Linked DNA regions of Tribolium castaneum. The protein of the gene in region 1 interacts with the protein of each later gene in a pairwise test. Links are inferred from orthologs where the notes say so. Each region holds a gene or a part of one and is shown on either strand. Other genes may lie near its edges.

What was found.
Region 2: the proteins of Cdk1 (region 1) and CycB3 interact in binary tests that used the Drosophila melanogaster proteins (3 or more experiments, as listed by UniProt). The link is inferred for Tribolium castaneum from reciprocal best matches to the Drosophila melanogaster genes Cdk1 and CycB3.

The regions. Positions count from the first base shown.
Region 1 is NC_087401.1:17,534,439-17,537,827, reverse strand, and holds Cdk1 (cyclin-dependent kinase 1), read left to right. Parts: upstream 1-1,336; 5' UTR 1,337-1,544; coding exon 1,545-2,218; intron 2,219-2,275; coding exon 2,276-2,522; 3' UTR 2,523-2,589; downstream 2,590-3,389. Other genes in the region: CCT6 (T-complex protein 1 subunit zeta), read left to right, coding at 712-863, 914-1,129; transmembrane protein 53, read right to left, coding at 2,840-3,001, 3,050-3,178, 3,227-3,379. UniProt on the Drosophila melanogaster protein: Plays a key role in the control of the eukaryotic cell cycle. Required for entry into S-phase and mitosis.
Region 2 is NC_087398.1:2,984,352-2,988,945, reverse strand, and holds CycB3 (G2/mitotic-specific cyclin-B3), read right to left. Parts: upstream 3,034-4,594; 5' UTR 2,894-3,033; intron 2,464-2,893; 5' UTR 2,409-2,463; coding exon 2,391-2,408; intron 2,339-2,390; coding exon 1,830-2,338; intron 1,781-1,829; coding exon 1,549-1,780; intron 1,401-1,548; coding exon 1,014-1,400; intron 964-1,013; coding exon 789-963; intron 737-788; coding exon 573-736; 3' UTR 430-572; downstream 1-429. Other genes in the region: uncharacterized protein Pex1, read left to right, coding at 3,381-3,470, 3,522-3,743, 3,793-3,907, 3,981-4,594. UniProt on the Drosophila melanogaster protein: Cyclins are positive regulatory subunits of the cyclin-dependent kinases (CDKs), and thereby play an essential role in the control of the cell cycle, notably via their destruction during cell division.

The DNA.
Region 1 (3,389 bases):
CATCATAAATCTCCCAAAAAATCACCAAATTTGTGTATTTTTTAAATTTTGTAGTCAAGAATTGTAAAAAATCTAAACTATCGTTAAATTTAGGCCGTTTTTCAAGCATATTTGCACAAAACTACAAAATTAAGCCCAGCATTATATTATTTTTGAACTTTTTTTAAGGTTCCAGCGCATTATTTTTCAGTCAGAAACTCACTCATTTCCCGAAATTAACAAAATATCTAGTTGCTTAATGGATGACGTCACAGTCATTTTGTGACGCGTCTTAAAAATGTGCGTTACTAGGCTTTGAAATTGTAAATAGGGGTCAATGACCTGACCTGGCCACACAATTGTTAATTTATTAGACTCACAATGCGTTTTCCGTTTAAAATAGAGCTCAAAAATTGAATTTACGAGTTGCTTCAACTACTCCCATCACCAAAAACCCAACTTCGGTACTTACTTGTCAATGTTGAAAATCGCCGTTTAGATCAACACATCGGAACACTGAAAGTCTTTGAACACTTTTGCACAAACATTTGCACGAAATAACCGATTTAACAGCGATTTTTCCCGAATTTACTAAGCGGTAAGCGGCCATCACGAAATTTGATGCACCGCCAATTGTTTCGCTACCAACCGTACCAATAAAATCACTAAATGTCATAGCGCTTAATTCAAATTGATTTTGCACACAAAACAGTTTTTTGTGATATTTTTCAGGCGCAGGGGCTTTTGAGGTGACCGCCCACAAAGAATTGATGGCTTACAAGGACACCGTTAAAGGAAAATCGCGTCTTGGAATTGGTGCTTACGCGGAAGCCCTTCTTGTAATTCCCAAAGTTTTGGCAACGAATTCTGGTTTCGATGCTCAGGTTTGTGTGATTTTCTCATTGATTGTTTTATAGTTATTTGTTGTTCTTAGGATACTATTGTAAAACTTCAAGAAGAATCTCGTAACAATAAGGAACCAATTGGGCTTGATTTAGCTTCAGGACAACCGATTAATCCGAAAGATGCCGGAATTTTCGATAATTACATCGTGAAGAAACAAATAATTAATTCGTGTTCGGTGATTGCAAGCAATTTATTGTTGGTTGATGAAATAATGAGAGCCGGAATGAGCAGTTTGAAAGGTTAAATGGATTTTTTTTGTCAGTAATTTTATTCACGTATTAATGCTTGATTTTGTAATTATTATACAACAATAATAAAGGATTTTAACACCCATTTTTTGGCCAAAGCTATTATTTGGCGATCGTATAGTAATTTTGTGTGTCTGAAGTTGGTAATGTGTGTCTATTTACGCCAAAAAAAAGACAGGTTATTGTGATTGACGTGAGTGCGATAGAGACGGGGATAATTGTACCCGATTGGTTGGTTCAAAAATCTCCAACGAACTTTCTCCATATTTCTTCAAACGAGCCGTTAAAAGTGTGTAAAAATTAACAAAACTCGTGTGCTTTGAATAAAATATCGTGTTTGTGGTCGTGTAGGCATTGCAATTTGACGTTATAAACGTCATTTTAAGTGGAAAGTTTGGTTATATTGGGGCAATGTCGAAACAGGGGGCCAACATGGATGACTTCCTCAAGATCGAAAAAATTGGTGAAGGCACTTACGGTGTGGTGTACAAGGGCAAAAACAAGAAGACGGGTCAGCTAGTCGCAATGAAAAAAATCCGACTGCAACCCGAAGACGAAGGTGTGCCTTCCACAGCCATTCGCGAAATCTCCCTCCTGAAGGAGCTCACACACCCCAATATAGTCTCCCTGGAAGACGTGATGATGGAAGAGAATCGTCTTTACCTAATTTTTGAATTTTTGTCAATGGACTTAAAGAAGTACCTCGACACCATCCCACAGGGCTCCTACATGGACCCCCAACTCGTCAAAAGCTACCTCTACCAAATCAACGAAGCCATTCTCTTCTGCCACCAAAGACGAGTCCTTCATCGCGACCTTAAGCCCCAAAATCTGCTCATCAACTCCGAAGGGGCTATCAAAGTGGCCGATTTTGGACTAGGGCGCGCCTTTGGGGTCCCGGTTCGCGTTTACACGCACGAAGTTGTCACTTTGTGGTACCGCGCCCCCGAGGTGCTCCTCGGCTCTGCACGTTACTCGTGCCCTATTGATATTTGGTCTCTGGGCTGCATTTTCGCCGAAATGGCCAACAAAAAAGCCCTTTTCCAAGGCGACTCCGAAATCGACCAACTTTTCCGCATTTTTCGGTAATCAAATCATGTAACTATAGAAACGAAAACAACTTGCATTTTTTTTCGATTCAGGGTTTTGAAAACACCAAGCGACGAAATCTGGCCAGGGGTGTCCACATTACCTGAATATAAGGTTACGTTCCCTAATTGGAAATCATGTACTTTGGAAAGTCAGGTAAAAAATATGACTAGCGACGCTATAGATTTGTTGAAACAAATGCTGATTTATGACCCGGCCAAGAGGATTTCGGCCAAAAAAATCGCTTTACATCCGTATTTGCAAAAGGTTGATACGTCAATAAAGCCGATCCTTAAATAAGCGGTTAGGTTTAGGTTTATCGTGTTTAGTATGACTATTTTCTAAATATATTTGTTTAAAAAATCTTTTGTGTTTGAAAACCTCCTTAATACATCATGCACGAGCTGCACGTGTATATTGCTATGGTGATGCGTCAATGTAGCTATGGTAACAGTGAAAGGAAATGCGGGACAGTGGCGCAACATAAAGCAGATCATTTGGGAACATAGTTTTAATGAAACAATTGAAATAAATACATTTTGTGCAATTCAACAACGTCTAGAAAAATAAATTGTACCCTAAAGTTTAATTAAGCGTTGAAATGTTTTTTGTGTGAATTAATTTGTGCCATTTAGGCATTTATTTAAAAAATTGCATACGCTACTCACGTAACTTTCTTTATTTTCGGTGTAGTGTTTAACATGAGGACTTGTTTCGTAACAGAGAGTTGTTACATCGATACCCAGAGATTTTCGATAGTTGGCGAAATATTCAATATCCTTGAAAAAAAAAAAAAGATGATTGGCTACAATAGTTAAGATGGTTACCGTATAAGGAATAAGAATGTCTTTTTTCGAGTAGATAAAATGTTGGGGACAGTTGTTTTTATCATCTTTCAAGTTTTCTAACGGGTTCGATTGGAACGTTTTTTTCGGACTGATGTAATTGCTAACAACCTACAATAATAAATCAAGGAATATTTAAAGTTTTTGGTGCGAACGCACCTCGTATAACCAAATCATAGACAAAAACATAGTCATGAGGACTGAAGCGGGAATATTGTAAAGGGGCCTTCCACCCAAAATTGCCGAAATGGCCCGAAACAGACTCAGAACGCGACGTTTTCCGGGCGCTGAGTCGAAAATCACTCCTTTTATCTGCACAAAC
Region 2 (4,594 bases), on another chromosome or scaffold:
ATGTAGTAAAATATTAATTCTGGTCATCTCTCTTTAACTGGATTCGACATTATTTTCAATGTTAAGGTTTTGGGCTGTATTTATATTTGTACCATAAAGTGAAATATTTACTTTGTTTTCGTCCATACATCCCCGAACTACAAATAAATCTAACGTAATTAAGCTAATGAAAGGATGCAAGGTGAAGAAAAACCATTGACATTTGTACCAATAACACGAAATGTTTTATTCAATTGAACGAGCAATTCTCCTGATGTAACTTCTTACGTAAAAACGGCGCCTAAAGTTCAAACGTTAGGTAATAATCATTCAATGCTTGTGTAACTTAAATTACTCATTATTCAACATAAATCAACAAGTACAAACCATATCTTGTCGATGTCTTCATCAACCGTAATAAAATTTGACGAAAATTTACTTAATGCCACACACGATAAAAATTAATATAATTTTAAAACAATAAATACATCTAGACAGACCTGGACTTAAATAATGCGAATAATCAGATATAAAAACTCACTTTACGAACAAGTAAAGCGTCAAAAACTACAGACATTTACCCATCAATTGGCCTAAACAAACAATTCTTCGTTACTTATTAGTGGAATCTTGGCTACTTCAAAGAATATCTTATGGGAATACTTATTTCTTACAGTCATTAGCGGACTTTTCGGCTTTTTGTGTAACCCGTCGTTTAGTAAAATCACAACTTCTTTAAAATCTTCAAGTTTGTAGCCTGAAACAACAAAATGTAATACGTATTTTTTTGAATTAAATAAAATAAGCACCTGAATAAAACTCTAAGGCGGTCGTCCACCCACTAATTTTCTTCATCTTGAGCGCCAGATACAGTGACGCTGAGGCCAATTTTGAGTCGCGTACAGTAACAGTGGCATAATCCATCAGCGAATATTCTAAAATAAATCTTGCGAGGGTGAGCACAGGCATTGTGATTTTGGCACACTGAAAGTAAAGTTGGGGTAAAACTTTAGGGATATGTGACGAGTTGTTACTCTAGCGTATCTCCTGAGAAATCTGTAGCTGATTGGAATGCCCAGATTAAAATCACAGACTTTTAAAATATTTATTTCCATTCGGACGAGCTCCCGGCACGTGTATGCCCCATCACAAATGTACAAAAAGTCGTTGATGGCCGGCGGAATTCTTTCGTCGTATTTACTAGCTATGAACATGGAAGCTGCGCCCACTAATTGCAAGGTCTCTTTGCCGACAGTCATCCGACTTAAGTAAAAATCCACTAATTTTACTCCTAAGTAAAGCGTCTCGTGGTTCAGTTCGAAACTTTCTTGCACTTCAACCATCCAGTCCACCAGAAGCGACCGCATCCAGCTCGTGAGACAGACTTGTCTGTCCATGTAGTCGGCGATTTCAAACTGCGGCTAAAACACGTAATTTTTTCTACCAGCGGCCCAAAAAATAATTTTAACACTTAAATTAAATGCATTAAACACCGAAAATATGCAGCCTTTCTTTGGATTTTTACAAAAAAAAAAATCTGACAACAGTTGATTTGTAATAAAAAAGTACCTCTCGACTCTTCATGTAATTGAAAATGTCCATGGCGTAGTGGGACACCTGGTGCACGTCGTCCCAGTTCTCCTTATCAAAGTCGGGCACTCCCTCGGGAACTTCATGAATGCCCAGATTGAGTTTGTTCTGGAGCTGCTGGGCCACGATGGACACCACAGATAGGTTCGGGGATTTCTCATCACTGGGGGGCGTTTTCGCTTTGGCTCCGCTGGAACTAACGGAATCATTGCTAAAACCATCCCTCATTACGCGAAAAAATCTGCTTTGGCGCGACTTACAGTTCCTCCAACGCTGACGAATAGAGAGATTCTTCAGTCTTTTCAAACTCGTTGCTCAGTCTTGTCTTGATGCGAGGATTAGAGATCTCTTTGAGCGCTTCTTTGGGTTTGACTGCCGTCTGGCCAGTCGTCACGTTTTTCACAGCAGCCCTAGTCACCACCCCGTTGAGACAGGGGGCTTGCGGGGGCAGAACATTCTCGTTCTGCTTGGGCTTGAGCACGGTTCTCACCGAGGGCAGTGTTTTGACTTGAACGATCGTCTTCTTCGCGGGCTGTTTTAAAGTGGCTTTCTTTTTATCATCGAACTTTTTGTTGTTGGTGATGTCACCCATTGCTGATCGTTTAACATTTTCTTTGACGGGGGAAAAGTCGGCTTTTCGTTTTGGGCGGATTTGGGCGTTTGTCAGGACTGATGACCGGCTTCGGGTGGAAACTGAGGCTTTTTGGTTTGTACGGATGGCGCCTGTGACGGCTCTGCTTAGGGGCTTCAAGGGAGCCATCGCAATGTTCTGGAAAAAGGGACCTTCAACAGGGGGCTCTCAAAAATGCACCGTTACGTACCTCACTCACAACTTTCATTATTAATTAACAGAAATGTCTCGGGTTATTTGTGTATGTGTGTGATGATGAGTCCCTTTTGAATAAAATAAAAATTTGGTGAAGAAAATCAAATGTCAACTCCAGGACCCCATAACCCATGTTAGTTTTACGCCCCAAAAATGCTATTTATCGAATTGATCGCTAATTGAGTAAAGCATTCGCTACGTTTTCTCTAACTTTGCAGTATTGTAAACAAAACTACACCCTGTTTTATCTCATCTGCATTTTACCGCCTTTTTTAACCAAACCCCTTTCATGCAGAAATGTGGATTAATATCCACATTCGGATCGTTCCTAAGCTTGCAATCACGAACAAATTTCAGAAAAAACCGCATAAAAACTGTTCAAGCAAAAAGTTCGTTAATGTCGCCGCTTAGAAAAACGTTAGATTATGAATTAGAATGGTGTAAAAACTAGTCAATGAAACAAGTACCCCCAAGAACGAGAAACTAACGACCACTTACCTCCTTAAAACTTGTAAAATTGCTTGTAGAAAAGTGTAGAAAAGCTTGTAAAAATTCACATGTGAAGTTCGTTGATGTTTAAAGCTTGTCGGCTTGCAGTTGTTTTGAAACGTTTCACTGCTTCGTCCCCATTGGTAGTTAAATAAAATAGAAGGGATGAAACAGTGGTGGTAAATTTGAATCGTATATATTGATAATTTATTTGCACAAACTGGAGTCGATTCCACACAAAAAAGTTAACGAGTGGTTAAAGTACAGTAACACTTGGTTCAAAATTGATAAGTTGTGTTAAACAGGATTAAAATTGTAAATCTTTTTGCATTTAAGTTGTACGACAGACGAGGCCTCTGCTGGTGACTTTCAAAAACGCGATTTGTAATTTATGGAAAAGGTTTAATTTATTTATTTAAGTGAAAAGTGTTGATTTTGCCCAGATGTATAAATTCCTCTAATTTTTTTGCATTTTTTTATGGTACTCAACTAAAAAATGTTTGAGGGATTATTAACTGTCAGATACGTAACCTCAAAAAACTGTTTCTGTGTCTTGTCTGTTAATAATTTCAAACATTTACAGAATGTAAGTATTGTCTCGTGTCCGCTAAATTAATATTGTCACGACTGATTGAAGAATGTCCTCAAATTGTCCTACAATGACAATGAAGCAATCCACGTGTCCGTTGACCCTTTATCAGGATCAGTTGATGACCAAAGTCTTGGTATTAATTCGTTATATGCGAAGGCCTTGGGCCTTGAGGACAATTCGTTGGTTACTGTTTCTGAAATATCAAAACCTCCAACAATTCAGAGTGTTACAATAACGGCCGTTGATAGTAATGACCATTTAGTTTTGGTAATTACTTCATCTTCTTATCTTGCATTTTATAATCATGTAACTTCAGGAATCATTAGCTGAAAATGTTCAGTCCACTTTGCTTGAGCAAATTCGTGTTCTCACAAATGGACAAAAATTTGTCATTTGGATTGGGGCAACAATTCATGTAACTGTTACTGTCTGTAAGTCGCTTACAGTCACTATAATAATGTGCCCATTCCTCCCTCCTTATAACTATTATTCAATTAATTGTAGGTGATATTAAACCAATTTCTCCCGGCAAAATTGATAATCTGACCGAAGTCGTAATAATAGCACCAGAAAAAAAAATTCATCCAATTTCGAACAGCAATGAGTCTAAAAACACAGACAAAACATCAAAGTTTCTGCCTGAATGTAAAAACAATGATGAAAATTTAATTTTGCGTATCGTGCCTTTTGAAGAAATAGTTTCGCAAATGCGCGATTTAAATTCTCCATTTAACGTTTTTGTGTTGAGGGCCAATGTCCCACAAAAAATAAAAGACACAATAAATAACACCACATTGTTTTTACTAAAATTGTTGAGTAACGAAGACGTCGACAAATCGCTTTACGTCAGATTAATTATTGTCGAGGACGTTTTAAGCGATTTTGTCCAAAATAAATTGTGCTTAGAGAATGTATTTGTCAGCAATACACTTTTTACTCATTTGAATTGTGAAGTTGGGGCACGAATTCGACTAGAACCCCACATCAGTACTTTGCCAGAAATCAAAGAAATAGAAATTTACACAAAACGGGATTATTCAATTGATGTGGTTCAAAAGTTTCAGCAATACTTAGCCGACAATTGCAAAAAACACGAATTTGTTTTAAATTCTGACGTA